Linked DNA regions of Bombyx mori. The protein of the gene in region 1 binds, or shares a complex with, the protein of each later gene. Links are inferred from orthologs where the notes say so. Each region holds a gene or a part of one and is shown in the gene's direction. Other genes may lie near its edges.

Region 1 (10,959 bases):
TTTTTTTTCTAAGCCCACATAATATCAATGTTATTAGACTACATCTTACCCCTGGTAACCTGCTGCTTTAGTGTTTACTTACAACTATACCACAATTCAATTCTTTTATTTGGGGTCTGGAGATACTTATTTTCATCTCAAATGTGTTCTGCCATCCATAACACAGGAGAAAAAAAGGGTTTGGGTAATGTTCTTTGTAACATGTATAGCATAATAGTATCTTTGCTTCTCTACCAGGATCACCCAGCTAACAATCTGTTGGCATTGGAAGTGAACAAGAAGAAATGGCTGTGCTGCAAGGGAGAGTCTTCCTGCTCAGTCGTACTTCAGCTGGCCAAGGCAGTCCAGGCAAGCTCTTAACAAACATGATCTATTAAAATCTTAAATTTTTTCATATTTGTAATTTTGATATACAAACCTACGATACAAAAAGGGCATGCTGAAATGTAAATCTGGTCTATAGTTCTATACCTTGTTCTAAATCACTCTTTTCTATAGTTTTTGTATATTTTGATTATTTGTACTCGGAAATGGGTTTCTTTGTGGATATAATAATGATATATCAATAGACAATAGTCAAGATAGTTTTCTTATATAGTGTATGACTTCAACTTTCCTCAAGTAAACCTGGCAAAAAAACCAATAACATCTTAAAAATCAGATATCATCAGTCTATCTTGGTGTGCATCATGCTGCTACTGTGGAGGTGCTCGTTGGAAGATCTGAAAAACCTGATGAACCCTTTGAGGTATGTTTACTCAACTGTTAGGGAACTTTGCATTAGGGGTCTTGTAATTGATGAATATCTAGGATGCTTAGGAGGGAACAGTTTCAAATATGGAGGCTTCTAAAATAATAGTGTACTTTGGAATCACTAAAAAGGTTACATTCAAAAATGTAGCTTTACTCTGGTTATCATCATATCTGAAGATGTCAACAAATGTCTTCACCATGAATAACAGGGTCTATAATTTTATATAAGAATAAAAATAGGATTGAAAAACTCAAGGGATCATGTAGGGCATATCCCGGCACCCGGCTGCTTCTGCTGCCCGTCGCTTTCAAACATAGATATTGACAGTGGAGTGACCGGAGAGACATGCTCAGGTACTGGTCCCCAGCAGCGTGATGTTGTCGCCCAGCGAGTCCCGGCGCGCCGAGGGCGTGCAGCGCGTGCGGGCGTGGCGCGGCGACCAGCTGGCGGCCGCGGCCCGGGGGCGCCGCTGGGACCGCCTGCGGGTCGTGTGCGCGCAGCCCTACAACAGGCACTGCCAGGTACCATGCGCCCCGGTTGCCCTAATAACTATCTATCTAACTAATATTTTATAAGTAATATATAATAAGTATTAAACACTACTAAAACCCGCGGTCATGAGGATCGCTAATAGTAAAACATAATTAAATTTTTTAAACATCATTAAAATAACGTAGGGTAGGACGTCCTCCTGCTAGATAAAGTGACGACCTGCGCAAGGCAGCTGGCAGTAACTGGATGCGTAGAACCGAATATCGGGTTCAGTGGCGAGTTTTGGGGGAGGCCTATGTCCAGCAGTGGACTGCCGCAGGCTGATGAGGATGAATTAAAATTGTTACATTAGGATATAAAAATAGTTTTGCTGTGTCTTCGATTCGCGAGACCTGGCAGAGATGCTATTGATGATATTCATAAGAGTACATATTCATTTTTATAAAACTGTTCATGGCTTCAAACTAATATAACCTTTCAGTTCGGCCTCTCGTTCTTGCACATCGACGAGCCCGGGGACGGACCCCCGCCCGCGCCGCCGCGCCCCCTCGCCCTGGACACCTTCTCGTCGGACGAGGAAGAGTTCAAACCTGGGGAATTATTCGCTAAATACTACACCCAGAAGGATAGTCCGCTGAAACTGGGGGACGATAAAACTAGCAGCCCGGCGAGTACAGGTAAATAGGTTTTAAACTGAGCGGTGTTGTCAATAAGGTCGATAATTCAACAGCTGCCAATTCTGAACCACAATTTTCATGTTCTTGGATATAATGTTTATAAATGAATACCTAATATTAGTCAGTTAGGAAACGAAGTTCAAACACGGTTCAGTAGAACGGCTTGTCGCCCCGGGCTGCCCCGGCCGGCGCCGGCACCCGGGGGCCGCGGCACGTCGGTGTTTGCCCCGGGGTTGCTCTATAATTTTATTTATTTACAATATAAATTTTATTTAACTTAATATTATTTCCGTTTAAACTTTAGACGAGTGCTTAACTGCGGGTACGTCTCGCAGCTTTCATACAGAATACAATTTTCAGAATCCCAAATACACAAGGCGACGTCCCGCGCGCTCCGCAACGTTCCCGGGGACTCCCCCGCCGCCTCCCCCGGCCTCAGCGCGGCGGCCACACTCCGACAGAGCAAACAGAACAGGCCGGCCGGGCGGCGCCGCTCCGACAGCGACGGGGACGCTCGGATGCACGATGAAGAGGACACCAGACACCATGCAAAAATAGACCAAACCGTTAATAGACATAAGGGTGACAAGATGACCGATGACAATAGCGCGGGGGACCCGGTGAGCTAGATTTGTCCACCAGATGCAGGAGCGGCGGAAGCGGCGCGGAACGCCTGTCGCGTTGTTGCCGGGAATATATATTTGGTTGAAGGACGGGCCAACCCGCGGTGAACAACCCGTTGACTTCACAACGCGAATGTTGCCTGAGACGTGAGGTCGAAATGTCAATTGTATTGTATAATAGCCTTCTCGTTTATAAACTGGAATACGGATATAGGCAAGACGGCGGTACCCAGTGTCCGTAAGTCGCCTTTCGACGACCCGGCTCACGGCTTGCGGTGACGAACAGACAAATAAGGCTTATCCTATTATACTGTATTAGTCATCAGGGGTGATACTGATGTCCATATTGTGTGATCACAGAAAGAAGTCCAGAAAAATATAGACAATATATCATCGAGAGCAAAGCGGGTGAAGCGAGACGACAGCGCCGGGACCGCGCCCGCCCCCCGGGGACAGCTCGGTGAGTCGCCCGGGCCGCTACACTCCACACCTGACCGCTGGTGTCATTAGTATATGTTACAGTCGCGTGTGTCGCAGCGGACGTGCTGCGCGGCGTGCGCTTCGTGCTGAGCGGCTACCAGAACCCGCTCCGCCAAGAGTTGCGCCGCGAGGGGGTCGCGCTGGGGGCGCGCTGGGAGCCCGTCTGGGGGCCCGCCTGCACGCATCTCATGTACGTGCCCTCCGACCTCCCGACATGTTGTAATGTCCGTTGTGCCACGTGGAGTACAGCGTCGTGTCGCCGGCAGATGCGCGTTCCCCAACACGCCGAAGCTGCAGGAGGTGCGGCGCGTGGCGGGCGGCGCCGTGCCCGCCGTGCGCGCGGACTGGCTGCGAGCGTGCCGCCGCGCGCGCCGCCGCGTGCCCTGGCGCCCCTACGCCACGGAGCCGCACCAGCGCACCGCACCACCACACGCTGCAGGTTCACGCACCACGCCGACAGTTCGATTGCTCATTCATTAATAAGAACAGACGGACGCCGCTACCAATATTTTTAAACCACAATACAAAATTAATTATTATTATTATTTTTTATTTCCTTTGTAGGCAGACCAGCATACGGCCCACCTGATGGTGAGTGGTTACCGTCGCCCGTGGACTTCAGCAATGCCAGGGGCAGAGCCAAGCTGCTGCCTACAAATTAGGCAAAAATGTAATTAAAACGTAATTTTGACCAATTACTTGTCGTCCAGAAACTGACGAGTCAGCGGACACCGACGAGGAAGTGCGGGACCGCGGCCGGGCGCCGAGCCCCCCCGCCGGCGCGACAGGGTCGAGGGGGGGCAGCGGCGAGCCCGACGTGCAGTTCGTGTGCGACGAACGAGTCAAGGCGTCGCTCGCGGTCGAGTCGGACTCGGACGAGACCGACGCTGGGGCCGACAGCGGCGCCGAGCACGCGGCACGTACACTCTATTACTAACGGATTAGTTAGTAATAGAGCTCGTCCACACATCTAAGCAATAAAAAAAAAAAAAAAATTACTTTTTTTTTAAATATTAAGTATTGTTTCCAGATAGACGACAGCAAGTCGCTGCCGGCGTTCTTTGAGGGAGTAACGTTCGCGGTGGAGGCCGGGGACACACAACTGCGGGCGCGCTGCTGGCGCTACCTGCGGGCCTACGGGGGGCGCGTGCTGCAGGTCGCTCGTGCTGCAGGCACAACAATATGACATGCCCTTCTTCAAACGAGGCTTGTAGAGAGTACTTAACGATAGGCAGCGGCTTGGCTCTGCTCCTGGCATTGCTGAAGTCCATGGATGACGGGAACCACTCACCATCAGATGGGCCGTATACTCGTCTGCCTACAAGAGCAATAAATTTATATTCTTATATTTATATTTATATAAATTTATATTAATTCAAAATAGTTAAAAAATTTCATGATTGTCACATTTCCTCTATGATTGGATAAATATACATATTTTCCTAATTTTAAACAAATGTACATTTTTCAGAAGTCTCAGCTGGATGAGGACAGCCGCGTAGATTACGTGGTGTGCGACGACGGCGCCGCGCCGCGAATCAAGGGCCGCGCCGTCACTGCAGCCTGGCTGTGGAAATGTCATCAACAACGAAAACTGTGTCCAATATAACGACAGCTCAACTTGTGAATTCCTTTCATTAAATAACTGTCAGCTAACAACGCCTTTTCTTTCACAAATCTCAGTAAATGACCACCATTTTACTAAGATCCCATATCATCTCATTTCATTTAATTTCATTCTAGTTGATTAGGGTCAATTCCCACTGAAAGAGCAGCGGCCGGCAGCGTCTTTTTTAGGCAAAATATTACAAACTATTTTGAATCTTATCTACGTGATTAAAAAGTTCATAGTCATTTGAAGGCAAAGGAGGGGTAGCGTGACGTCGCGAGGCTGCACGAGCCTTCTACCGACTAGTCAAAAGAGGCGCCGCGCGGCTGATCGCGGCGCAGCTAGCTGACGTGCGGCCGACCGCGGTGCAGCTAACAGACTCGCGGCTGCGCGCGAGCGACCATTTCATACCCGCCCGCCCTGCCGCTTACGCATTTCGCGTCATTTTATTAGAGGGTATCAAGTTAGAACGTGCTACGCTCCGTGAGAAAAAAATGTACCCAAAATTTTCTTTTCCTTTTTCTTTCCGTTTTGTTTGTTACTTCTTGTTCTTCTTCTACAGCCAGTGCTATGATACATAAATCCAAATCCACCATATTTATTGCCACACAACTTTCCTTGAGTGAAGTAGATCGCACACTAGTTTTCAAAGCTACTACGCGGAGGTTCATTGCGGCGCCTCGGGATGCCGCGCTGCCTCTCGCGGCGCCGCACTGCCCCGCGCGGCGCCACACTGCCCCTTGCGGCGCCGCGCTCAATCACTTGCTCTTACGGCCGCTGCGCGCCGCTGCTCTTTCAGTGGGAATTGACCCTAATGTCTCAAATTAATCATCTTCATTTTATTTCATTTCACTCCATATTATCATTTTTCATAAAAATAAGACATGACTTAAAGGTCTTAATTACCAGTTCATAAAATCCCTAAAAAAATTAAAATTAGCAGAGATAATACCTACAATATTCTCTTGTACTCTGTGTTTCTGGGTTTGTAGTTTTGGTCGAATTAAAAATGGCTCTCAATATTAGTGTGAAGGTCCATCCTGTTGTTTTATTTCAAATTGTGGACGCATACGAACGTCGAAATGCAGATTCTCACAGAGTTATCGGCACCTTATTGGGTTCGTATTGATTTATAAATCATGCAATAACTATAAATTCAAAGGACATTAGTTGTCAACGTCATGTCGTGTACCAAATTTTATGAGTTGTTATTTAAAAGAAAAATCCCTAAATGCTAAATATGTACGTCAATTATCATTACACATTTCACTTTGGCTTTTCCACATCAACGTTATAGTTAATTTGATAAATTCCTTGGTCACATAAGCCAGGTGCAATACAAATGTGTAAAGGCGTTGTAAGGTTATGTTGTGCTGTTGCTGCAGGCACGAGCGACAAAGGAGTGGTGGAAGTAACCAACTGCTTCTGCGTGCCACACAAAGAACATGCCGATCAAGTCGAAGCGGAACTTAATTACGCGATGGATGTTTACGAGCTGAACAGAAGAGTCAATTCCTCTGAAAGTATTGTTGGTGAGCTATACCTGCATTATACTCAAATTCACATATGTAACAATACTCACAGACGCATACACACACAATTTACACTAATTATTATTATTATTATTATTATTATTAATGCTTTATTTCAGTTATTATTTTTTTTTAAAACCATAACATTTTGTTAGTAATAATTACTTATAATCTATGTTAGTAACTTAAAAATCTAACACATAACTATCATTATATTATACATTTTATACCATTATATATTATTATTTTTCTCCTTCCAAGTGCCTACTGCAAAGGCTATTGATCAGCAGTCCCTCGATCTTGCTCGATATGATTCTCAAAAGACTGTTGTCACTGTCACGAACTCGACGCAATAACGATGCACTTCTCTTCCGCATTATTGCAAAGAAGTCATCTGTGTGAGATGTCGCAAACATTGTGGATGCACTACAAAAGCGCGGCAGTGACAACATCATCCTAAACGCATTATTATATTGGACACGTAGGGCATTGTAAGCTCTCCGCGTGTATGTGGTCCACAGACTACTGGCGTAAAAATTCTGGCAATAAGCTTTAAAAATTGTAAGTTTGACATAGCTATCGCAACCAGTAAATCTGCGGGCCAGCATGTTGCATCTTACTATCAACTAATTGCCACATCATCATCATTTTCCTGCCCTTCTCCGAGTCACCTGGAGTCGGCGCAACATATTTTCTCCGTTCATACTCCTCTATCATAATACCATTTCTTCGCTCATTCCACTCTTACACATATTGTCCTTCATGCAATCCATCCATTTCTTCTTAGGTCTACCTCTTCCACTATAGCCTTCCACATTTATAGTTAACACTCTTGACAATTGCCAATTAATAAAATTGGATCTTTTACTTCCCTTAGCATACCTTATACATTTAAATTCAAACTCATTTGTATTATTTTTAGGTTGGTGGGCGACTGGCAATGAAGTAACCAACCACTCCTCTGTTATACACGAGTATTATTCCCGTGAATGCCGTGAGCCTGTCCATGTTACTCTGGACACTTCGCTGGCTGGAGGTCGAATGGGTTTACGTGCATATGTTTGTGTACCATTGGGAGTGCCAAATGGAAAGCAAGGTTGCATGTTCACTCCTGTAGATGTCACTCTCACATGCTATGAACCTGAGGTAATTATTGAAGATTTTGTACTGTATTCATTGTCAATATTTGCTTTATTAAGCAAAAATATGGTGAAAACTGCTGAAAGGCCATTAAACTCTGACTGTTACAGGTTTAAATTTGTGTTCAAAAGGCTTCAAAATCATGAGCTGTTTTAGACTCAAATTTGTTAATATTTCAATATCCATGAACTCCAAAACTGCATTGTGTGGAATCACATATTGTTATATTGTTAAATAAAAAAAGGGTGCGTGTACTTATGTGCGCGCGTAAGAAGTTATACTTAATTTTTATTAATTTTTTTTTTTTAATAATCATAAATTAATAATAAATATTTAATGTTAATAATTTAATAATGTTTAGTATGAATTACAGTCAAACCTGGATAAGCGAGAGTTAAAGGGAGCACAATCTCATTCTCGCTTATAGAGGTTTCTCACTAACCCGAGTTTCTCCCTAATGAACCCTCTGAATGTCATTTCGCGATTTTCCAGATTCAAACGCATTCACTATTTTAAGTTTATCACTTAATGACAGTACTTTAATTTTCCGTTTTGACATGATGCAGAACAGATTTTTCCCTCGCGATTGATTAACGATAAACTGAGTAAGTCTGACAAACAGGACGGTACACCGGGACACGTGTCCATTCGAAAAGAATGCGATAAATTAACAACGTTATTTAGTTCCACGAAATAGAATAGGTTCTATATTGACGAGAAAACAATACAAAAACAATGTTAAAAAGTTCCATGAAATTTAAGAATGGGTCATAAAATAGCAGATGTTAAATTTGTAATTTGTTTTGTCATTTGTTCCTCCTAAATAATATTATTATAAATAAATAAAGCTCGACTGTCGCTTATAGAGGTATAGACAAGTAGCAGTCTCACTTACGGAAGTCCATAAGGGAAAAAACTACTCTCGCTTACAGAGGTTTCTGTCTCTCGCTAATAGAGGTCTAAGAAGCTAAAAATGACGGGTCCTGGCTATTACTCTCATTTATAGAGTTTTCTCACTTATCCAGTTCTCACTTACCCAAGTTTGACTGTATATTAAAATCCCTTATTAATCTGGTAATTCCTTATTAGCAGGAAAGGCCTGAGCATATTAAAACGCATTACTGCTTCACGGCAGAAATAGGCGGGGCAGTGGTACCTACCCGTGCGGACTCAAAAGAGGTCCTACCACCAGTAAAAAACCTATCTAGAGTTTTAATGTTTTGCGGCATAGAGTAAACGTTTGCTTTGATTGATTAGATTGTAGGTCTACAAGTGTGCCAGAAGACTGTGTCTGGTGGAGGTCGCGGGTCGAGCGGCGTGGCCGCGGGCTCGGACCTGGCGCAGGTGATGTCGGCGGCGAGCTCGCTGGAGTCGCTGCTGGAGCAGGCGCTGCAGTACGCGGACGGAGCGGCCGCCGGAGCACCGGCCGACGCGGAGGCGGGCCGTGCCCTATTGCAGCTCGCACATTCCGCACCTGACCTTGCCAAGGACACCTTCTCAGATGCCTTCGCCTCCAGCGTCAAAGATCTGCTCATGGTAAGTTCACACTCAACCACTCTACCGTGCTGTGGGCTTAACTAGAACATAATATATGAGTAAGTATAAAGGATGGGACGGTTTCTGGACATCTTTCATGAACACTGACATCCAGGCGAGACTATGAGACAATTTGTTAGCTGATCTACTTGTGTTGCTAATGGCAATTACTTACACAGGGACTATACAAGTGCCTATGATTATTCATCCAAAACTTGTGCTGAAATATAGTTTTGTCAATTCTGCTGTCCCTCATCAACAGTACTAATGTCAGCCAGTTCTTGAACATTACCTTTATATAGTGCTGGGTTTGATTTACCATTTGCTTTTAAGCATAAGATATCATTAAACTCACAATGATGCATGCAGACTGCATCATAACAGTGAACTTTCAAATAGTATCAAGATATAAAATGTCACCATAGATTTCTTACCAACAAAAACTACGTTTTCAGTAACTCTTAGCATAATGCTGTGTACATTTTGAGTCGAACTACACATATTTGAATGCGTGGTTGGCCAATAATGAATCACCTTAAAGCTGGATGTTGTGCACTTTCCTGGGCATAGCATATGCAAATATTTCCCATTCATTATTATTATTGCCTTCCATAGTGACAATAATTATTAAGAGTCCCTTTTCCAATGAATTACATTTATTACACTTGAAGTGTACAGCGATAACAACAGAGATCTCCGCTCCGTTCGACTGCTCGGACCGGAATGTTTTGTGCGATTTTTTTTTTCCTACCTAAGCCGATAGTCTTGAGAGGCTATTTCAGCGTAACCATAACTAGTAGGTGAGCTCACGCGGCTCAAACCTGACGTCGTTGCTAACGCGAACCCTAGCAATAGCCGTGATTCGCAGAATCTACCACCGGATCGGAAACGCGACCCACTGAGAAGATCCGGCGAGCTGTGTCTTAGGGTTAATTTACTCGTCGAGCCCTTCGTCGCAAGCGACGGATTCGACGAGAACGATGACCGGTGCTTGAGGTACCTCAAAGCACCGTTAGTGGATCGGGAGGAACGCTGTGCGACAATAGTCAGTCGTCGTATTTATAATAGACTAGCGACCCGCCCTCGCTTCGCTTCGGAAACATTAAAACACACAGGAAACCAAAAAAATAAAAAAAAAAAAAAGGAGCCTATGTTCATCAGGGACAATGTCGGCTTCTAATGGAAAAAGAATTTTTCAAATCGGTCAAGTAGTTTCGGAGCCTATTCGAAACAAACAAACAAACAAATCTTTCCTCTTTATAATATTAGTATAGAAAAGTGGGGATAGATTAGTCATGAATTCTCTTGAATACCGTCGCAGTTGACATATTATGTAACATTTAGGTAACAGTTAACTTTATATTGAAATTGAAATGGAACCACAAATGACTTGACAATGATTACTCTGATGACGAATCACTAACACAATTTTCGTTTGTTACAGGTGGTGACGTTAGCACAGTTGATCAAGACCCAACTCCAACTTAATGAGAAGCTAACTTTATTGACCTCCCAGTGAATACTACAATATATAAGGGAAGACCTAACGTCTAGCTTCGATTCTGTATCAGGCTGTAAACATCTCATAAATAAATATAACCAATAGGTTGTAAATCTACTGTGTGCTGTTTTATTGATACAGACTTATACTAAACTACTCTTTGAACTCAAGGTAACGTTATTGTGCTTACAATAAATAATATGATCAGTTGATTAAGATTCTTTAGTGTATTCATTAGAGCTGCTAGTACTTGTGAGGGGGGATTAGAGTATTGCTGCTGCTATTAAAAAAAGGGAATACCACAATAAAAATACAAAACAAAAAGTAGATGGTAGTTAAGAGTTCAGTTTAGATTTAATTAAGCTCGTCATTAACGAGCTTAATGCTTAATGCTACACATACTCAAGTCGTACTGAGCCTGGAGCGGGCGGCGGCTTCCGGGTGCCTCTCACATTAATGATCGTCGTTACTGTCGAAATTACAGATTTTACACGGTTGAAACTGCAAAGTGCGCCTGGGATGTATAGGGAACGAAAATAAGATATAAAACAAAAAATATTTTGATCAAATAGAATATATCTACAATTTCAAATTTTAACAAATATAATTCATATC
Region 2 (10,498 bases), on another chromosome or scaffold:
CTAATATAATGAAGTTGTTGTGGCCTAATGGATAAGATGTCCGGTGCATTCGTGTTGAGCGATGTACCGATGTTCGAATCTCAGGCGGGTACCAATTTTTCTAATGAAATACGTACTCAGCAAATGTTCACGACTGATTTCCACAGTGAAGGAATAACATTGTGTAATAAAAATGAAACCCGCAAAATTATAATTTGCGTAATTACTGGTGGTAGGACCTCTTGTGAGTCCGCGCGGGTAGGTACCACCACCCTGCCTATTTCTGCCGTGAAGCAGTAATGCGTTTCGGTTTGAAGGGTGGGGCAGCCGTTGTAACTATACATGATACCTTAGAACTTATATCTCAAGGTGGGTGGCGCATTTACGTTGTGGATGTCTATGGGCTCCAGTAACTACTTAACACCAGGTAGGCTGTGAGCTCGTCCACACACCTAGCAATAAAAAAAAAATTTAAAAAATTGTGGTGAAGTGGATTATTGTGAGCCCTCATAAGTAGGTATTACCACCCTGCTTTTATCTGTTGTGCAGCAGCCATTATGCTTTTATGAGATATCAGGCTTCATGGCTGCATGTTAAATCATTGGCATCATGCATTGAACGTTTAAGATTTTAATGACATATCTAGTTTTCAATATCTCCATAAGAGAATGATATTTCTTCTAATTATGATCCTTAAATTAATTTATTTTGTCATATGATCTTTTTAGAGAGTTAATACTTACGTAAAGTGTTAATTGTATGTGAAAGTGTATTTAAAATGGGTGAAGTATGACTTTTCTTGAGTAGATGGGTGAACTAAATCTAAATGATTACAGGAGCCTACAAACATAGTCACATAAATGCCACCACCCACCTTGAAACATAAAGTCTTCATTGAATTGTGTAATAGCTGTTCAAATCAAAAGGCATGACTGCTTCACGACAGAATTAGGCAGGATTGTGGTATCTACCTGTGTGGGTTTATGTTGTGCCTTTCTTTCATTAAATGTCAGTTGACAATCATAGTATGCTGATTTTATACAGAGAATACTTCTACCCATTCTCTGGTGAAATCCTTAGTTGCCTTTCACAACATGCAGAGGAAAATAAGAAATATAAATACACTGCTTTTTTATGTTTACTGGTTGTGGTGTAACAATAGCATTTATTATTGCATAAATTTGAGCAATAATAATTATTCCTCCAATAATTAATACATTATAATAACAATATAGAAAAAAGTCTACGTAGCGCACAAAACACCCAAAAACACACTACTAAACCTAGTGTAATATCAGCCTATACTAGGAAACTCATGGAGCGGAGACAGCAACTACATGTAACCAAACCAAAAACAAGAGCATTGAAAAATGAACTAAAAGCTTTATATAAACTCATAAGTAAGAACATAAGGAGAGACTACATGCTCCATCGATCAAAAACATTTGAAAAACATATACTACTGGGAGCATTAAAAAGGCGTACAAGGAGCTAATTACCTACAAGCCTTGGATTAAACAACTAAAAGAGTCAGATAAACTATCACATAATAGGACTGATATTATGAAAACCGCAACCAATTTCTACAAAAAACTGTATGATTGTCAAGTCCAAAACTTTACAAATATATCTGTCAGCACCAGCATACAAGTACCAGCGGAAGACGTCTCACAGATAAAAAAGATAGATGATTTAGAAGTTATAGAAGAAATAAAAAAACTTAAAGCTGAAAAATGTCCAGGGCCCGATGGAATCACTAACGAGGCAATAAAAATAGGCTCTAAATATCTTGCACATCCTCTGACACAGCTCTTTAACTCTATATTAGATTCAGGCACCACACCTTTTCAATGGTCAGAGTCGAACATGATTCTACTCTACAAAAAGGGTGATCCCACTGATATAGGCAATTATCGTCCTATCAGTCTGCTACCCACACTCTACAAACTTTTTTCATCAATAATCGAAAAGAGGATTAGTAAGAGAATAGAGGAACACCAACCAATAGAGCAAGCTGGTTTCAGACGTGGATATTCTACAATAGACCATATCCACGCAATTGAACAAATTGTCGAAAAATATAATGAATATCAGAAAACACTCTATGTTGTGTTTATCGATTATCGGAAAGCCTTCGACACAATCCGACACTCTTCTATATGGACCGCCCTAATCTCACAACGCGTTGAACACAAATATATAGAAATAATAAAGTGTTTGTATAACAACTGCACAAGTAGAGTCAAACTTGAGACGACAGGACCACCGATACCCATAAGGCGAGGTGTGAGGCAAGGCGACCCACTATCTCCGAAAATTTTCATAGCGGTACTGGAGATGGTCTTCAGCAAACTAAATTGGGAAAGAAAAGGGCTGAATATTAACGGCAATTTCATCAACCATCTAAGATTTGCGGACGATATTATTCTATTATCTGAAAGTGCTAAAGAGATGGAATCAATGATACACTCGCTAAAAACTATGAGCTATGAAGTGGGTTTGGAAATGAATTTAGATAAAACAAAAATTATGTCGAACAGTATAAAACATCCCATATATCTCGACGAAAAACCATTAGAATACGTAGATAGCTACATATACTTAGGCAAACAAATTTCCTTTGGAAAACAAAACAATGAATTAGAGGTTGAACGAAGGATTTCAGGCGCATGGAAAAAATTCTGGAGTCTAAAAGACATACTAAAGGGAACGATGCCTATTAACTTAAAAAAGAAACTAATGGACACGTGCCTGCTCCCCTCTATTACCTACGGCTGCCAAACGTGGAAATATACGCTACGCGTAAAGAACAAAATCAGGTCTTGTCAACGAAGTATGGAGAGAAGCATTACGAATGTGAGAAAAATACAAAAAATCCCACATAATGTCATACGGGAAAAGACTAAAGTTATAGATGCACTAGATTTCTCACAAAAGTTAAAGTGGCGCTGGGCAGGCCATGTAGCCAGGATGAGCGACGACCGCTGGACCTGTAGACTCACGCTATGGCGGGGGCCTGCAGGTATTAGAAGGAAAGGAAGACCGGTAACGCGTTGGGACAACGATATAATAAAAATCGCTGGTAAAAACTGGAAGACAATTGCCAAAAATAAAGACAAATGGAAAAGTCTGGAGGAGGCCTTCACCCTCACATAAGAGGGGTTCTTGCATGCCTGCATGCTAAATTAATATAACCTTTTTTACATATTTTATGTTGATCCGACTAATATTATACACAATTTATTAAGAATTCTATCATAATTAATATCGATTATTATTAATGTATTATCAACAATTTTTTTATAATTTTTGTAATGTAACTTTTTTTTAAATGCAAGAAATAAAAGGCTTTTTATTTTATTTTATTTTATTATTTATTAATAACAATAAGGCTTTTGAGTAAAATAATAAACATTCATATTCTCATACAATAATCGTATTTTATTGTGTTCAAAACTACTAGCAAATGTAATGATTGATTGTCCAAAATATATATTAAGATTACTTGGCACAATTTCTTGGCAAGTCTTAAAACTGCCTCAAGTCATATGAGACAATGTTTTTATTATAATATGTCTAGTTATCAGATTAGATAACTTACCCATGAAAATGATTACAGGTGTAACAGAAGGTAACATTGGTAAACTTGACAATTTCCACCCAACTACAAAAGAAGAGTACACAGAGTTTGCTGATCTCCTTACAAAGAAGATCACTTTCTATAAAGCCAAGGATGAATTTCCAGGATTCATTGATGACCTAGTCAAGAATATTTTAGTCCAGAGTAAGTAAAATTCATTGTTTATGACTTCATTGATTGTGTTTGTAATTCAAATTGCTGATTTTTGCTGTGAAACAGTAATGCATTCAGTTTGAAGTGTAGTGTAGCCGTTGTACTGCACAATTTAGACTTTCGACATAATGTCTCAAGGAGTATGGCAGCATTCACATTGTGATGTCACAGTAACTGCTTGTCACCAGGTGGGCCGTGAGCTCATTCACCTAATAATAAATAAACATATAGTTCATGCTTAATATGGGGCTTGGTTCTGCTTAATACGTAATCATCATCGTGAAGTAAATATCTTCTCATTGTCAGTGGTGGTCACCAATGTAGAATATGACATTTATAAATGAAATCTTTCATTTCTAGATTGAAGTTAATTCAGAGCAACTCCATTATTATGATTGTGAACTTTCTTTCATTAGATGCCGCTAAAGTGTAAAAAGTCTTATAAAATTTAATAAATTCTGGATTTTTTGTTGCGTTTCGCTATGAAGGGCGGGGCGGCTGTCGTACTGTTAAAAGTGAGACCTTTACATCTCATGTCTCAAGGTGGGTGGCGGTATTTACGTTGTAGATATCTATGGGCTCCGGTAACCATTTAACATCAGATGAGCCGTAAATTTGTCCACCCAACTATGCAATAAAAAAACATATCCAGATTAATCTGGTACGCAAGATCTCATCTAAAGTCATTAGGAAATAAATTTTCTTACTATGCTTAGATCTTTTCATATTACAAGAAATGTCATCTGCTTTTATCTGTTGTGCAGCAGCCATTATGCTTTTATGAGATATCAGGCTTCATGGCTGCATGTTAAATCATTGGCATGATGCATTGAACGTTTAAGATTTTAATGACATATCTAGCTTTCAATATCTCCATAAGAGAATAATATTTCTTCTAATTGTGATCCTCAAATAAATTTATTTTGTCATATGATCTTTTTAGAGAGTTAATACTTATGTAATGTGTTAATTGTATGTGAAAGTGTATTTAAAATGGGTGAAGTATGACTAATATGATAAAGTATGACTGAAGTATGACGAAGAATCTATAATTACAGTGTCATCAGCGGATATCCGACGAATAAAATTGACTGTCGATAATCTATATATTGAAAAACAGAAGGCAGAAAAGAATGATAAAACTAAGAAGGCCACAAAGGGCAAGGGCAAGGCCAAGTTAAAACTTGAAGGGGACAATGTGAGTTTATTTTTTATTTAGTTATCAGTAACTCGAATATCCAGTAATTAAGGTATGTTGTAAGGTTGCGTTTATTACTGGTGATAGGACCTCTTGTGAGTCCGCGCGGGTAGGTCCCACCCTGCCTATTTCTGCCGTGAAGCAGTAATGCGTTTCGGTTTGAAGGGTAGGGCAGCCGTTGTAACTATACTTGAGACCTTAGGGCTTATATCTCAAGATGGGTGGCGAATTTACGTTGAAGATGTCTATGGGCTCCAGTAACTACTTAACACCAGGTGGGCTGTGAGCTCGTCCACCCATCTAAGCTATAAAAAAAACAAAACAGTCAGCTCTGATGGGCATAGCGGTTCTGTTAATATCTACAACAAACAATCAACATTCCAGTTTAAATCTGAGACTAAATTATGTTTTTATGTAGGCAGTTCACATGAGTTAAAGTATCCACATGATATGTAATCTCCCTAAAGTCTACAATACGAATAAAAAAAAACAAAAACAACTCAAAACACACAGTCCTTTGACTTCACATCTTAATAATCCAATTACAATATTTTGATGTTTATAAACAGCAGAATTTTGCATTAGCGCAGACAATTTACATTAAAAAAAAAGTTGTGTTTGTACCAAGGAAAACTTTTGTAAAATTACCGTGCAAATTTCACGAAATAATGATAATTCGTGTGATAATGATAAACGTGATTGATAAGGAAGTGTAGGCTGTCGATAAGCTGATATCAGACCGCGCTAGTATCGACATAGGTCAAGTTCGTGCCTAATCTATACTTGAACAATAATTGTATATTTAGCCAGTTTGATTTTGTGAGAGAAAAACAAAAACATTTGATTGAAACAAAATTTACCCTTGCATGAACCTACAGTACATAATGCTTATAGCGTCTCTTGAACATTTAAAGTCATTCCAATTCTTTACGGATGGAACTTTGTTGGTATTATTAGACATTGCAATTGCTAAATTGGAAAAATATATTGATAGTTGTTCATTCGATTGTGAGATGATCAGTGTGATTAACAGGTTTAAATATTACAATAACTTCATTGATCCGGTGAATTTCTGACGCTACGAAAGTAGACTAGTAGAGAAATCAAATGTACATCTATACTAATATATAAATCTACAGTGGTTTTTACGAATGTTCCATTATAACTACTGAACTATGCATCCGATTGACTTGAAACTTGGTATCCATGTAGAAAATACATGTACTTAATAGATAGGCTAATATTTCTATGAGTTTTGGACTCCCTAATAATAATGTTAATTTTAAATGCCCAACGAAGCGGGCGAGTACGGCTAGTCGCATATAAAGCCAATTAAACGGATCTTTATACTGCACTAAATCTCATTCAATAAAGAAACTCGTTGAGCTCACTCGTACAATTTTTTTCAATTTTCACTATTTTCTCAATCGTGGGTATTTATATATTTACACTTTTCTCGTTTCAGGCTCATCTCAATCAATACGAATCATATGGGAATTTCGATGACGACTACGATGATTTCATTTAAATAAAGCCAATAAGGAACTTATACACAAATTTGATGTCCGAATTCATTGAATTTTCAACTTCATTTACTATATAAAAAAAAATACTTTCCTATATATATATATAAATGTTTTTTGTAGAATGATATTGCGTTAGTCTGTTTTCTTGTAATCTCGTTTTATTTATTGTCGGTAATCGATTTGGCACTGGCCAAAATCGATATTGTCGATAACAACAATCGATTTATGTAATTCGGACATCAGGTAAGAAAATAATCATAGCATTGTTTACGCTAACGGTAATGGTAATGGTGTTGCTATGATAAAGTTTTAAACATCCGGTTGGAATGCTTAAATTATCGATTATGTAATACATAGAGTATCTTTGGTGACATAAAATCGAACTGAATTGTAAGTAATTGGGCTGTTACCTTAATCCATTGTTGTTACTTCTATAAACTAATCTACACAATTTAGCAATCCAACTCGATAAATATATAATATGCCATTGTATAGCATATAAACATACTATATACATGTAATGTACAGTTTCATTGAACGATTATTTGTCCGATGTTATATATAGAGAATAAATTTTTTTATTGTGATATTATTTTTGTTTTATTTGATCAACACGTTTTATTGTATTATTTGTGTGTTCAATATTTGTTAGCAAATGACCAAACACTGGTGTTACATATTTAAAGGTATTTGCCAAAAGCATTTTTTGTTGGGATTAGATTAGTCTGTGTCAAATCTTCTCACATTAAACGGGTCTCAAACTTGATGTGTCTTTGTCTTTATCACCTCGCACAATATACACGTTCCAGTATAAACACAGACTCAAAAAAATATTTCGACTATTCAAAAACAGATTACAGACAGATCATTCATAGTTATAATCAATAATTATGTATCCTATACATTCCAATCTGGACAGACATTGAAAAGTTGCGATGGAATAGAGAGACTCATAAGTAAACTTCGAACACATTGCCTTTTAAAGTCATCGTGGCCTAAAGGATAAGACGCCTGGTGCATTCTTATCGTTCGATGCGGGTGTTCAAATCCCGCACTCGGGTACCAATTTTTCTAATGAAGTACGTACTTAAGAAGAGTTCGCGAATGACTCACGCGGTGAAGGAATAAACAGCGTGTAATAAAAATTAAACCGGCAGAAATTATAATTTGCGTACCTAATTACTGGTATTGTGAGCACGCACGGATAGGTACCACCACCCAGTCTGTGCCGTGAGGTAGTAATGCGTTTCGGTTTGCAGGATGGGGTCGTGCTATAAAAACAGACTTCGAACGCTTGTCTCAAGATAGGTGCCGTCAATTACGTTACTGATGTCTTGGCTCTGTAACCACTTAACACCAGGTGGGCCGTGAGCTCGTCCACCTATGTAAGCAGTAAAAGTCTTTCGATATTCGTGTATTGTGACCTTGCACATTCTAAAATCTGACGCCACGTCCTGATGAGTGTGGAAGAAGCCTCAATTGTATGTTGTAAATCTTAGATGGAGTGAGTGTCTACCATTGGAACCCTCATTGCTTATCTGTCGTAAGGTTGCACTGGGAAATAGCACAAATACAAAATATTTTTTTTTTATTGCTTAGATGGGTGGACGAGCTCACAGCTCACCTGGTGTTAAGTGATTACTGGAACCCATAGACATCTACAACGTAAATGCGCCACCCACCTTGAGATATACGTTCTATAAGTCTCAGTATAGTTACAACGGCTACCTCACCCTTTAAACCGAAACGCATAATTATCTTACGTTGGACAAAGAACCTCTGGAATTCTTCGTGCTCTGTATCGCCTCAAGAATTTCTTACCATCAGCGACCAAGACTATGCTAGTACAAGCCTTGATCTTCCCTATAATTGATTATGGTGATGTGTGTTATTTTGACCTGAATGCAGACCTTCTTAATAAACTTGATCGTCTTCTTAATAACTGCATTCGATTTATTTTTAATCTTCGTAAATATGATCATATATCTTCCTATCGTGCTCAGCTCAAACTTCTACCGATTCGCCAGCGTCGTAATTTACGTGCACTGACGACTCTTCATTCCTTACTTATGTCTCCCGAACCTCCTTCCTATCTAACTTCCTATTTTCAATATCTTCACTCCAGCCATGAGCGGGCCCTACGTTCTCTCAATAGCCTATTAATTCGTTGTCCCACACATAGTTCTAGTTATGTTCGTAACTCTTTCGTCGTGCAATCTGTTCTGCTATGGAATGCGCTTCCTCTCGAGATCAGGACTATTACTAACCGCTGCACGTTCAAGTTAAGGGTTCGGCGAATGCTGTTGGAAAAGTTAGCGGAATCGTCATGAACTTGATGAAGTTATTTGTTAAGGAAATTTATTAATATATTCCTTTTAATACTGTATAAACTATTATATGTATGTATGTGTGTATATATGTAGATATACTTTTTTGTATGTATTCGTTACCTAATATAAATTTCATTGCACCTACCACTATTTACTCTGCACTACCTTTGGTTGACTGGTAGAGAATGCCTTAGGCATTAAGTCCGCTAATGTAAATTTTACATGAAGTGTAATAAATAAAAATAAATAAATAATTGCTTTACGGCAGAAATAAGCAGCGTGGTGGTACCTACCCGTGCGGACTCACAAGAGATCTTACCACGAAACTAACTTTGCTTGTCTTATATATTATTATATTGTAGCAGTAGGCAGCGGCTTGGCTCTGCTCTTGGCATTGCTGAAGTCCATGGGCGACGGTAACCACTTACCATCAGGTGGGCCGTACGCTGGTCTGCCTACAAAGGCAATAAAAAAAAAGGATAGACAGTGGCAGTGGGTGGGACAATAAACGACATTAATTTAGTTTATTATAGCATATATATATACATAACATCCTGTATCAGTAACGAATAGGTTCGCATTTCCGATCGAAAACTGGATTCAGAATGTATCTTGTTTCGCAACTTTATGATGTAAGCCAAATATGTGTAATAATTTAAGAACGTGTTTAACTTTCAAGAATTAACCTTATATATTATTCGGTTTGAATTTCGGGTGGGGTAGCCGTTGTACTGTGAAAACTGAGACCTTAGAACTCATATCTCAAGGTAGGTGGCGGTATTTACATTGTAGATGTCTCTTGGCTCCGGTAACCATTTAACAATAGGTGGGCTGTGAACTCGTCCCTCCAACTAAGCTATATAAAAAAGTCTAGTGCAATAAACTTACAAACCCAATTTAATCTAACGAATACAGACCATTTTCGCGGCATATCTTCTGAAATTAACAACAAAGGGGATACCTATTAGAAGCCTGCATGCAATACCGTCTTTACCATAAGGGCATACGGGGCCCGTGCCCAGCGCCCCCATTCTCAGGGGGCCCCGAAGGACCGACAAAATCTCTCACACATTTATTCTCAAAACATTTTTGTCGGGCACATTACACTTTTTTCACAAATCCATTATCTTATCAGAAGGTATTTTCAAGGCATATACTACGCCATTACATCCATGACTGCGCCTATTCCTACTGTACTAATTAATAATATTTCCGAACGCATCCTACCTAATTTACTAAGTACACCATCTAGCGATCACGATAAAGGTTTCCGCTATCGTAATCGTAACCAAAAAACCAGCAGCATTCTAATATCATTAATGACATATTATATCATACTGTATTTGATTGGTCATAATCAGTAAAAAAATATTTTTTTACTTTCCAAATGGGCCTCAAATTCTTGTGTGCCCAAGGGCCCCAGCCTAATTTAAGACGTCCCTGCCTGCATGCATGAATAGCAGTATCTCACTCTGTTATTAATAAGCTTCACGACCGTATATTTGGGTCACAATACGACCGGTTAGCGCCTAATTAATCCATTAGCGGAAGAACACCAACAATGGTAAGAGGCAGACCACGATGATTTTATGTAACGCGGTAATATTTTTGTTTGAGTTTCATTATAGCTTAGCTTCCTGGATCACAATCTATTTGTCGAGAGAAAGTCGCT
Region 3 (10,498 bases), on another chromosome or scaffold:
CTATTCACTTCATTGGAAAAGTTAATGGAGACTTCTTCAAACAAAATATAGATAAATTAGTAATCAAAGATTTTAGGATTATTGTGCCTCTGAAATAAATCCCATTTGTAACCCTTAATGGTTATGCGATGGTAGGCCTCAGAGGTAGATCATATTGTAAGCTTGACGCGACAGAATATACGACACATGTATAGCCTGTGTTAATGTATGCTTGCACATGTTATAATTTACGAGTGAGACGTCGTAACAGCCATAACCCATAGTTTGTAACTATTGCTAATTGTAGATTTGACCCATCTTTTGAAACAACTATACATTCTCTAAAGTGCCAAAAGTTGTTGGTTTCAATGTTCAACTCGACAATATCCTTCGTGAATATACATTCATTTACAAATTAAAAATATTTCTGTGCAAAAGCACAATATTAATAATAATCCCTAATGAAAATCCATCTGTTGGAGCATATCCCATGACGTGAATAAAGATGAAATTAAATTCAATTTAAATGTAAATCAAATATTAAAGACTTATTACAAATGGTTATCATGTGTAATATAATATTTCATTAAAATGTTTTGTTTCTGTTCTCATAAAAACATTTTAATTATGATTCACACAAACAAATATATAATTATGGATATGTATAATACTCTAAAGGCTAGGGATACACATTAAAAATAGCCAGAGTCTTATTAATGTGACCCACTTTAACTCGAGTAATAAATACCTGACTGTATACCAAATAACCGAATCATTGTGTACCTATACAATTATTTTATTTGAATATTGATTTAACAGATTCATCGCTCGCTCAGTACACCAATGCCTTGACGGACGTGGCCCTGGTGAGGCTGATCCGTCAGGTGGCCCAGTGCTACGCGTGCGTGCAGTTCTCCCGGCTGCTGGAGCTGGCGGCCACCGACGACCTGTTCCATCTGGAGCGCTTGCTCGTCGACTGCGTGCGCCACAACGACATGCAGATACGCATCGATCACGCCAACAAGTACGTTGCGAACTTCGTATAAAACTAAAGCATAGACACAGTTTTTTATTGTTATTGCATAGATGGGTGGACGATCTCACAGTCTACCTGGTGTTAAGTGGTTACTGGAGCCCACAGACATCTACAACATAAATGCCGCCACCCACCTTGAGATATGAGTTCTAAGGTCTCAGTATAGTTACAACAGCTGCCCTATCTTTAAAACAATGGTGGTAACTATCCGTGCGAACTCAGAAGAGGTCCTACCACCAATAATTACGCAAATTTTGCTGTGACTATTACTAAAACTGTGCTATTCATCATTCATCTAATTTATTGCCCATAAATTAAGAATAATTTTGAAATTTTATCAGTATCCCTAAACATAGACAACCTTTTTTTTTTCAAATAAATTTAAGTAATTTTTATTTATTGTAACGAAAGCTATTATAATAAATTTACGATACGTCTATCTCGCGTACCATAAGTAGATATGAAAGAGCTTTTCTGTCAGCTTTCATTATAGTAATAACTACTTCCATTTCATTTTTCACTTAAACTTAGATAAATAAGTGGTACCTATTTAAAAGAGTTTGGAAAAACCTCCCCATTTTAATTCAATGTTTTTGCCACGTTTCATCCAAATCTAATCCAGATCCACAATTCTCTCTGAGTGCTATAACATCTCATTTGCTAAAGGGACTTTTTTATTATTTATTAGAGCCATACACCCCTATTAGGTTGTCGGCTAAAGGGGACTCAAAATGTACTGTTGGCAGGGTAATTGTTCAGTTTAATTCTTAATTACTATTTCTGTTTACAATCAGGTGCGTGCACTTTGGCGTAGAAGCGGGCGGCGGCGAGTGGTGCTCGGCCGCGGACGAAGCCTGCGGCGGGGCCATCCTGCAAGCCACCCCGGCGGAACAGGTACGCGCATTATGAATAATGGACTTGTAGTGTTATAACATTTACAATTGAACTTATTTCGATGGGCTGTGACATGGTGTACCTATTAGTTTGGACGAGTTAAATGACGTACTGATGATATAGTTTTTACTAAGATTTTAAGACTTTAAAACATACATTAACTATGTTATTAATCATCTGATGTGGTTTATTCAAATCAGTATAATATTTCTATGAATCCTATTTTACTATTTTAGTTATGTATGACTACTAAAATGGTAAATTTAATATTTCAAATGTGATAAAATATTTTAAATTTTTTAATATATTTAGTGTTTTCCACAAGAACGATTCTCAACAATCATGAAAAAGCCTTGTAAAATTATCTTTTTACCAAATAAAATTTTTTCTCCCAATTATTTTCCCTACTATACATTTCGATGATAAAATACATTAAAACAAATAGATACGAATTCTCCAATATATGCACGCGTACTTAAAAAATTAAAAATCCCTTGACGTGTCTATAATCAGGTCCGCGAGCAGCTGGTCCGCGCGGCGGAGGTGCTGTCCCGCGTGGTGGGCGCGCTGTACCCGCAGCGGCGCGGCGCCGAGCGGGAGCGCGCCCGCGCCGCCATGGTGCAGTACTACCACGAGAACAAGCAGGCCGAGCACCACCGCGTGCTGCAGCGCCACAAGATCATCGAAGAACGGAAGGAGTACATCGAGCGACTCAACACCGTGCGCGAGGAGGAGGAACTCAGGTAAACATTATAATTTTTTTGCTTAGATGGGTGGACGAGCTCACAGCCCACCTGGTGTTAAGTGGTTACTGGAGCCCATAGACATCTACAACGTAAACGCGCCACCCACTTTGAGATATAAGTTTTAAGGTCTCAATATAGTTACAAAGGCTTCAAACCAAAACGCAATACTGCTTCAAGACAGAAATAGGCTGGGTTGTGGTACCTACCCGCACACACTCACTACAATCTGTCCTACAACCAGACCACGTCCGTACTAGGACAGAGCGACTACACAGCCCTAATTCACTATACACTAGTATGATACTAAAGGACTGCCTCCTGCTTAAATCTGTTATGTATATTCAATTCTTAAGAAGTCATTGTAATTTTTGTGCCTCTGAAATAAATCCCATTTGTAACCCTAAATGGTTATATGATGGTAGGCCTCAGAGGTAGATCGTATTGTAGCTAGACGCGACAGAATATACGACACGTGTATAGCCTGTGTTAATGTATGCTTGCACATTTTTTTTCATTTGATGTATCGGCTTTCAATTCCGCTATTATATTTCATGTGTTTTATTGAATTAATTTAGCTAAATTACACAACTACAAAAAAAATTTCGTTCTTTGTCCAAACGTTTATACTAGATTTTTCCAGTTAATTATTCACAAAAACGAAAACAAAAGTTTGCTTTTGTGATAGTTATAGTAATAATACTCATTTTTCAACTTTTTTATAAATTTTTTATTAATTTTAATACTTTAAAAAAAAAACGCGCTATCAAAGTGGGGTGTTTACGTTCACACAGTGCCACTAGATGGCACTCGAGTCATAAACAACGGTCAGGTGTTTTGTACAAGCCCAGAAAAACTTAAAATGTCACGAAAGTGTAAATACGATGCTGATGCATTTTGTTTCATATGTGGTCAATTTATTAAAGTTCAAAAGCAAACTGTTTCATGCCATGTATTATTTTTTCGTCTAATTACGATCTAAAATATCGAAATTTTAAGTTTTGCCATCAAAGTCAAAATTGGTGTTGACCCGTGTTATAGATAGGTTAGAAAAATAAAACAGGTCCACTAAAAGCTTTCAGAGCTATGACGATCGTTAATTAATATTAGAAATAGGACTAAGCAAAGGTGGTAAGTAGGACCTCTTGTGAGTCCGCGCGGGTAGGTACCACCACCACCCCGCCTATTTCTGTCGTGAAGCAGTAATGCGTTTCGGCTTGAAGGGTGGGGCAGCCGTTGTAACTATACTTGAGACCTTAGAACTTATATCTCAAAGTGAGTGGCGCATTTACGTCGTAGATGTCTATGGGCTCGTCCACCCGCATAAGCAATAAAAAAATAATAATAACCGGAACAACTAACGAAATGATTTGACGTATCAGGCGTCAAGAGGAGCAGCTCCGCGCGGCCGCCATCGCCGAGGCCCGCCGCTTGGAGCAGGAGCGTGAGGAGCGCGAGAAGAAGCGCCACGCGTCGGAGCTGGCCGCCATGAGGGAGCGACACCTCAAGGAACGCATGGCGCACATCTCTCAGACCGCGCACGGACAAAAGATGCTCGGAAAACTCAATGAGGAGGTTCGTCTTGTTTACTGTTCTCATTTGCTGCATTAAAGAACATAAGATAATTAAAGGAAATAATCGATAATTATATCTTAATCTTAATTACAATAGATCTCTTTCTAATTAATTTAATTAAAAAAATCTAATATTAAAAAAAAAAAACATGCCCGCTGATTTTCTTGCCAGTTCTTCTCAGGACGCAGGCTAGTTTTTGTGAATTGGCGGTAGTTCTTTTTGACGTTCAACAAGTATGTACTTTCATTTATGTTGAATAAAAAAAATTATTTTTTTTTGATTGATTATATGTAATTCAAAAACTATTTTTCTGAAATTATAAAAAGTCCGGTATCCATTTTTCACGTCAAGCCAAACGCTAACTACACGACACATGATGTCGCATGTGATTAATGTATTAGTGATTCGTCTAGGGTTAACTTACACATTTTGATACCCAACAATGTTACATGAATGTTTAATTAAGTTTCATAGTTTGTGTTAGAATTTAGAAAAATAGAAACATAATTGATTTCCTATGCTTGCCAGACTCGTTTTTGTCGCAGTTCTAATAAAAATGATTTTTCGCATCCTGAGTATTCTTACAACCAGCTAATCCTATTTAGTCTAATATTGGACATTCGTTTTGTCCATTTCCTTTAACACAACATAAGAGTATTCAACAAGGTCAACAAACCTAAATAAAAAAAAAACTTAATATAAAATACATTATTTCACTATTGAATGCAGGATCTTAAGAAAATGGATGCTGAAGCTATTGCTCAGCGGGAAGCTGAAGAACTGATGAAGGAACGTCGCGAGCTTCAGGCTAGACTGAAGTCACAGGAGAAAAAGGTACTGTCAACATTAAAATATCCAGAAATTCAATCTATACATATAAATAAAATTAGAGTGTCTGTTTGTAGTATTGAAATAACCGCTTTTTACTACATGCATATGAATATATATACGGTACATACACCAAAATAACATTTTTTACAATCTTTGTCTGTCTGTCTGTTGTTTGTTCCGGCTAATCTCTGGAACGGCTGAACCGATTTTGATGAGACTTTCACTAATAGGTAGCTGATGATATAAAGAGTAACTTGGGCAACTTTTTGGAGTTTACTCCTTTAGAATCGATTTACATATATAGGCCCGGGGTATGAAAATTATGGGGACCAAAATCGTACTAGCATGTCACACGAAATGCGTTATGCGCCTGATTGGCTCCTGATTGCGTGATGCGTGCGCGCGCCAATCAGGAGCCAACGCGCGGCCGCGTTATCGCAGGTGACGCCGGGCTGCTGCGCCGGCAGTCCGCCACAAAGCCTCGTACTGATCGCGCGTTTCTCTCATTATTGTATTTTCATATATTTGTTAGTCGTTTGTTTTGTGTCTCGTTAATTTGTTAATAATCTGTAGTGTATCGTGTTTTCGTAATATAGAACTATTTCTCGTATTGTTTCGTTTAATTTTTTATATCCAGTAAACTCCAGTCGTGCGTCGGAGCGGACACACACACTTTTTTTTTTTAGACTAGCTTCGCCCCGCGGCCTCACCCGCAGTTATTGTCCTACCGCACGTAACATGGCGGGCTTCGCCTATATCAATAATAAAATTTAATGTTTCCGAAGCGAAGCGAGGGCGGGTCGCTAGTAAATAATAATTGACACGCACTTACCACAAAATGGCTGACACATCCTGTCTTACTTATTTTACATCAACAATTGGTTCAGTGTTAAAATATTGCAACCTTTTTGAAATTCACCACCAACTGGTATGACATGAAATGCTAAGTAAAAGTGTAAACGCTACCAACACGAAGTTAAAATCTTAACATTAATATGTAATATATCTGTGTCTTCCTAACCGAAACTAGTAACACTTTATTTCATAAACGAATTTTCATCAATATAAATAACAAACAGGTGGATTACTTTGAGCGTGCCAAGCGATTGGAAGAAATACCACTTCTGCAGAAGAGCCTGGAAGAGAAACAGGTTCAAGACAAGGCATTCTGGGAGCAACAGGAAAAAGAACGCATCGAACAACTCATAGGTAAGCAAAAAATGCGAAACACTAACACTAAACAAACTCTAGTTGAATTATTTTGTCCGTGCAATTTGGGACATAAATAATCGGAGCGGTGAAGCGAGTATTTCGCTGTCTCTTCCACTCACGGGCCTTATGGACGAGCATAGTGATGCGCATTATTGTTGTCGATAAGCTTTATCGATAGTGTATTAATTTTGTCATTTTAGTGATAAAAATGAAAAAAAATATCACTAATCTTGATAATAATAATAATAAACTTACACTACATATCGCCGCAGCAAGTTAACGAGAACGGCAGAAATTAACACTTTGTAACTTTTCGGGTTCTATTTTCATTTCAGTGAAAAATTTTAAAACATTGTTGATAACAACACATGCTTGTGCTGGTATATTTTTGCCGACAGGCAAAATATTGTTTTGAATAAATTCTGCCGTTTTGGTACAAAACAAAGAAGTAACCATTATGTCACTAAAGAAATTCAGAGAGTGAATGCACAAAAACACATTTCTCTTCGACATGTTATGTACTATAATTTGCAGGTCGGTGCAAATGACTCATAACATAACAATGTCTCACCACCTTTCGTATACCACCCCGCCGCCGTGTACCTGCCTTCGATGACTCATTTGTTTTTATCGATAATAGCGTAGGGCCCGCGCCATGTGGTCACCACCCTAGCCGGGCTATGACTTATAACCCAAACTGCGCCGACAAAATAGTTCTACTATAGTATTTAAAAACAAATTGAATCCAGCAGAATTGAGTTTTGCAATCCAGTGCTTCGAATAGGCGAAGGAAAAGCTGCGACTATGTAATATGTAATTGTAAAATGTAAAAGTAATGTAATTGTGACTACACGTCGCTGCACGTCTCACTGGATGTGACATATTGTCTTGCCACTAATTATACAATTTCCTTGCCTCAGAGGCTCGCGCCTTAGACGTGGCCACGTCGGAGCGCATGTCCCGCATGGCGGTCCACCGCGACGAATTCATGGCGCGACTTCGCTCGGAACGTGGGGCCGCCTACGCTCAAAAGGTAGCCGCTTTCAACGAGAAACTTCAAGCCGAGAAGGAAAAGAGATTAGCTGAGAGACGCGCTCAGCGAATCGAGAAGAGAAGACATGAGGTAAAAGATTGATATGATTATAACCTACAGCCGATCTTTGGAAAATTTCAATAGACGTTGCATTAGATTGTCAGACAGTTGGTTTTTAAATGAGTACAACTCTTATATGTTCCAACAACACCATTGTTCCCGATAATGAAGACTAGACATGCACATAAAAATTTAATATGTTACCATTAAAGCAAAACTAATAAATTTCTGATATGAAGCCGTCAATGCAAAAGTGGCCTAAGCTTACCATAGTTAGTATGAAGATAATGAGGTTCGAATTATCCTTTACAATACTAATAATATAATAGGCAAAAAATACGCACTAAAATGATGTTTACAAAGGAATCTGTTATCTATGGATGAAACTAGGGATAGGCAGATTTTGCATCAAAATTTATTATATTTTAAATAAATTGCAATACGTAAGCACAAACTATTGCGCTGACTGCCTCATATATGAATGATATCCAAAGTTACGAATGTACTAGTATTCAATCTTTTCAACGTTCCGTTAGCTAAATAATTTAAACTTGTAATGTAACAAGAATATTAAAAAGAAAACTAAATTTATTATTGCAGTGGATAACAGAGAAGCGTCGCGCTGAGGAACGTGCGGCTGAGGAAGCTCGACGCATCAAGGAAGAGGAAGAAAAGAGAGAAAGGGAAGAACGAGAGAGGAAACAGCAAGAAGAAATGGAAGCGTTGAGAGAGAAAAAAGAGAAAGAACACAAGTTTGTTATTTACATAAATTTGTACAATTAGTTTCTAGCTAAAAATTAGGTTTTTTTTTATTACTTAGATGGCTGGACGAGCTCACAGCCCACCTGGTGTTAAATGGTTACTGGAGCCTATAGACATCTACAAAGGCGCCACCCACCTTGGGATATAAGTTCTAAGGTCTCAGTATAGTTACAACGGCTGCCCCCATTCTTCAAACCGAAACGCATTACTGCTTCACGGCAGAAATAGGCGGGATGGTGGTACCTACCCGTGCGGACTCATGAAGTCCTACCACCAGTAATGAAATTGTAATGATTGTTTTATTCTATAGAGAGATGTTGGCACGCGCCGAGGCCAAGGCCCGCGCCAAGGAAGCCGAGATACAACGGAAACTGGAGGGACAACGCGCCGCCGTCCCCCCGCCCGCCACCTCCTCCAGCTGGAGACGAGGACAACCTGCCCCTACCGAACGAGACGACGCCTGGAGGGGCAAGGAAGCACCTGATGCTGGGGAAAAGAAGTCCTCTGATCAATGGAGAACCAGTACGTTAAATTAATGTATTGTATTCATGCACAAGCAGCATAGGCAGCGGCTTGGCTCTGCCCCTGGCGTTGCTGAAGTCCATGGGCGACGGTAACCACTCACCATCAGGTGGGCCGTATGCTCGTCTGACAACAAGGGCAATTAAAAAAAAGACAAGCAAAACACACTTATTGTAAAAACTGATTATTTTGATAATGATAAAGTACAATGTAGAATAGAGTGGAGATTATGGTCATTGTTCTAAAAGACACTTAATTCTTGTAACTGGCAACTGGTCTGTTATTCGGACTTAAAAAATATATTTAACAATTGAAATCAGACAAAAAACTGGTGTCTTTTTTTGATATAACGAAATACAGGAGTCCCATTTCCTGAAAAGAAAAAAAAAACTAATATTTTTGTTTTTGCTCTGCAATCACTGTAAGTAATTAAAGATACAATAATGTCATCAGTTACTTTTATTGGACACGAATATTATATTATGCTTTTTTATGGCCCTTGTAGGTAGACGAGAATATGGCCCATCTGATAGTTAGTGATTATTGTCGCTCATGGACATAAGCAATGCCAGTGGCAGAGCCAAGTCGCTGGCTAACGTGCTACCGTTATATTATGATCATATGGAAGCAGTCTCATGGATTAAATGATTTTTTTATTTTTAGGTCGTGTCCGTGAACCCGTACGTGACGAGCGAGCTCGCAGTCCGGAACGACGCCGCGAAGATCGTCCACCCCCCAGGGATGAGCGGCCGTCTCTTAGGGACGAGCGTCCGCCTCCCAGGGACGAAAGACCACCGCCCAGGGACGAAAGACCACCGCCCAGGGACGATCGTCCACCACCCAGGGATGATTGGGCTAGGGAAGACAAGTATGTTTTATCTCATAACTTTTTTTATATAACTTTATATACTAGACAGTATAAAGTCCACCTTTATGCCATAGACATTCTCTGACAATCTACCTTAAAGGGGTGCAGAGATGAAACTTGGTAGGTATAGTGTGATAGTGATATTACTTAAACATATGTGTATATACATACATAATATTTATAGATAAAAATACTCGTACTTAAATAAATACATATACATAAATATATACATATAAAAATGTATATAAATAAATATCATCAATCAGATGACTGCTAACTCTCTGAGAAACAGCTCTCGAACCCTCGTCTTAAACGCTTCATGTATACTTTTCTGTCTAACAAAACTTTATTGAAACAGGATCCTGATCCTCCACAAAATTACAATTGTTTCCCACAAAGTTACAATTTTCGTTACAGTTTCTTTATAATAGATATCCATTCCACATACTATATTCACCACTTCATCTATCAATTTTATGGCCAAACTTGAACTTGCTGAAATGAACATTGTGAAGTAACAGTAAATTCTATATACTGTGTTATCCTAGTAATATTACCAGCCATCATATTATGTTTTTCAATAATCTTTTGATTGTCAAATGAAAGAAAGAACAGAAGCTTGCAGTTCAGTAAAAATAAAGCAATTGTGACTTTCTAAATCCTATCTATCATATTTGTTGCACTTAAACTACGGTAACTATAACTTGAAAAAATCAGTAAATAAACAAAATTATATTGCAGACGTGAAGAACGTCCACGGGAAGATCGTTCCAGGGAAGACAGACCTGCACCGAGAGATGATGGTGCCTGGAGATCAGCTAACCGAGAACCGGACAGAGACAGGTATCAATTTAAGTTAACTTCTAGAAAGATAAAAGACAGTCATGTCACACGTAAAACACTAAAATTTCACAAGATACTGTAACCAAGATAGGAACTTCAGATTAAATAATTTTTAATCGGCCGTTTGATTGCTACATTAC

The links.
Region 2: eukaryotic translation initiation factor 3 subunit F (region 1) and eukaryotic translation initiation factor 3 subunit J share a complex: the UniProt entries of both Drosophila melanogaster proteins name them as parts of the eukaryotic translation initiation factor 3 (eIF-3) complex. The link is inferred for Bombyx mori from reciprocal best matches to the Drosophila melanogaster genes eIF3f1 and eIF3j.
Region 3: eukaryotic translation initiation factor 3 subunit F (region 1) and eukaryotic translation initiation factor 3 subunit A share a complex: the UniProt entries of both Drosophila melanogaster proteins name them as parts of the eukaryotic translation initiation factor 3 (eIF-3) complex. The link is inferred for Bombyx mori from reciprocal best matches to the Drosophila melanogaster genes eIF3f1 and eIF3a.

The regions. Positions count from the first base shown.
Region 1 is NC_085124.1:488,295-499,253, reverse strand, and holds eukaryotic translation initiation factor 3 subunit F, read left to right. Parts: upstream 1-5,589; 5' UTR 5,590-5,644; coding exon 5,645-5,753; intron 5,754-6,020; coding exon 6,021-6,167; intron 6,168-7,089; coding exon 7,090-7,313; intron 7,314-8,564; coding exon 8,565-8,843; intron 8,844-10,287; coding exon 10,288-10,362; 3' UTR 10,363-10,462; downstream 10,463-10,959. Other genes in the region: DNA repair protein XRCC1, read left to right, coding at 238-348, 662-748, 1,108-1,275, 1,728-1,923, 2,284-2,543, 2,907-3,006, 3,069-3,216, 3,293-3,465 and 3 more. UniProt on the Drosophila melanogaster protein: Component of the eukaryotic translation initiation factor 3 (eIF-3) complex, which is involved in protein synthesis of a specialized repertoire of mRNAs and, together with other initiation factors, stimulates binding of mRNA and methionyl-tRNAi to the 40S ribosome.
Region 2 is NC_085125.1:12,541,703-12,552,200, forward strand, and holds the end of eukaryotic translation initiation factor 3 subunit J, read left to right. Parts: intron 1-3,598; coding exon 3,599-3,763; intron 3,764-4,830; coding exon 4,831-4,970; intron 4,971-6,435; coding exon 6,436-6,498; 3' UTR 6,499-6,859; downstream 6,860-10,498. UniProt on the Drosophila melanogaster protein: Component of the eukaryotic translation initiation factor 3 (eIF-3) complex, which is involved in protein synthesis of a specialized repertoire of mRNAs and, together with other initiation factors, stimulates binding of mRNA and methionyl-tRNAi to the 40S ribosome.
Region 3 is NC_085122.1:3,665,655-3,676,152, reverse strand, and holds part of eukaryotic translation initiation factor 3 subunit A, read left to right. Parts: intron 1-798; coding exon 799-1,003; intron 1,004-1,809; coding exon 1,810-1,909; intron 1,910-2,422; coding exon 2,423-2,652; intron 2,653-4,034; coding exon 4,035-4,227; intron 4,228-4,956; coding exon 4,957-5,061; intron 5,062-6,137; coding exon 6,138-6,267; intron 6,268-7,190; coding exon 7,191-7,393; intron 7,394-7,963; coding exon 7,964-8,115; intron 8,116-8,435; coding exon 8,436-8,647; intron 8,648-9,310; coding exon 9,311-9,515; intron 9,516-10,256; coding exon 10,257-10,358; intron 10,359-10,498. UniProt on the Drosophila melanogaster protein: RNA-binding component of the eukaryotic translation initiation factor 3 (eIF-3) complex, which is involved in protein synthesis of a specialized repertoire of mRNAs and, together with other initiation factors, stimulates binding of mRNA and methionyl-tRNAi to the 40S ribosome.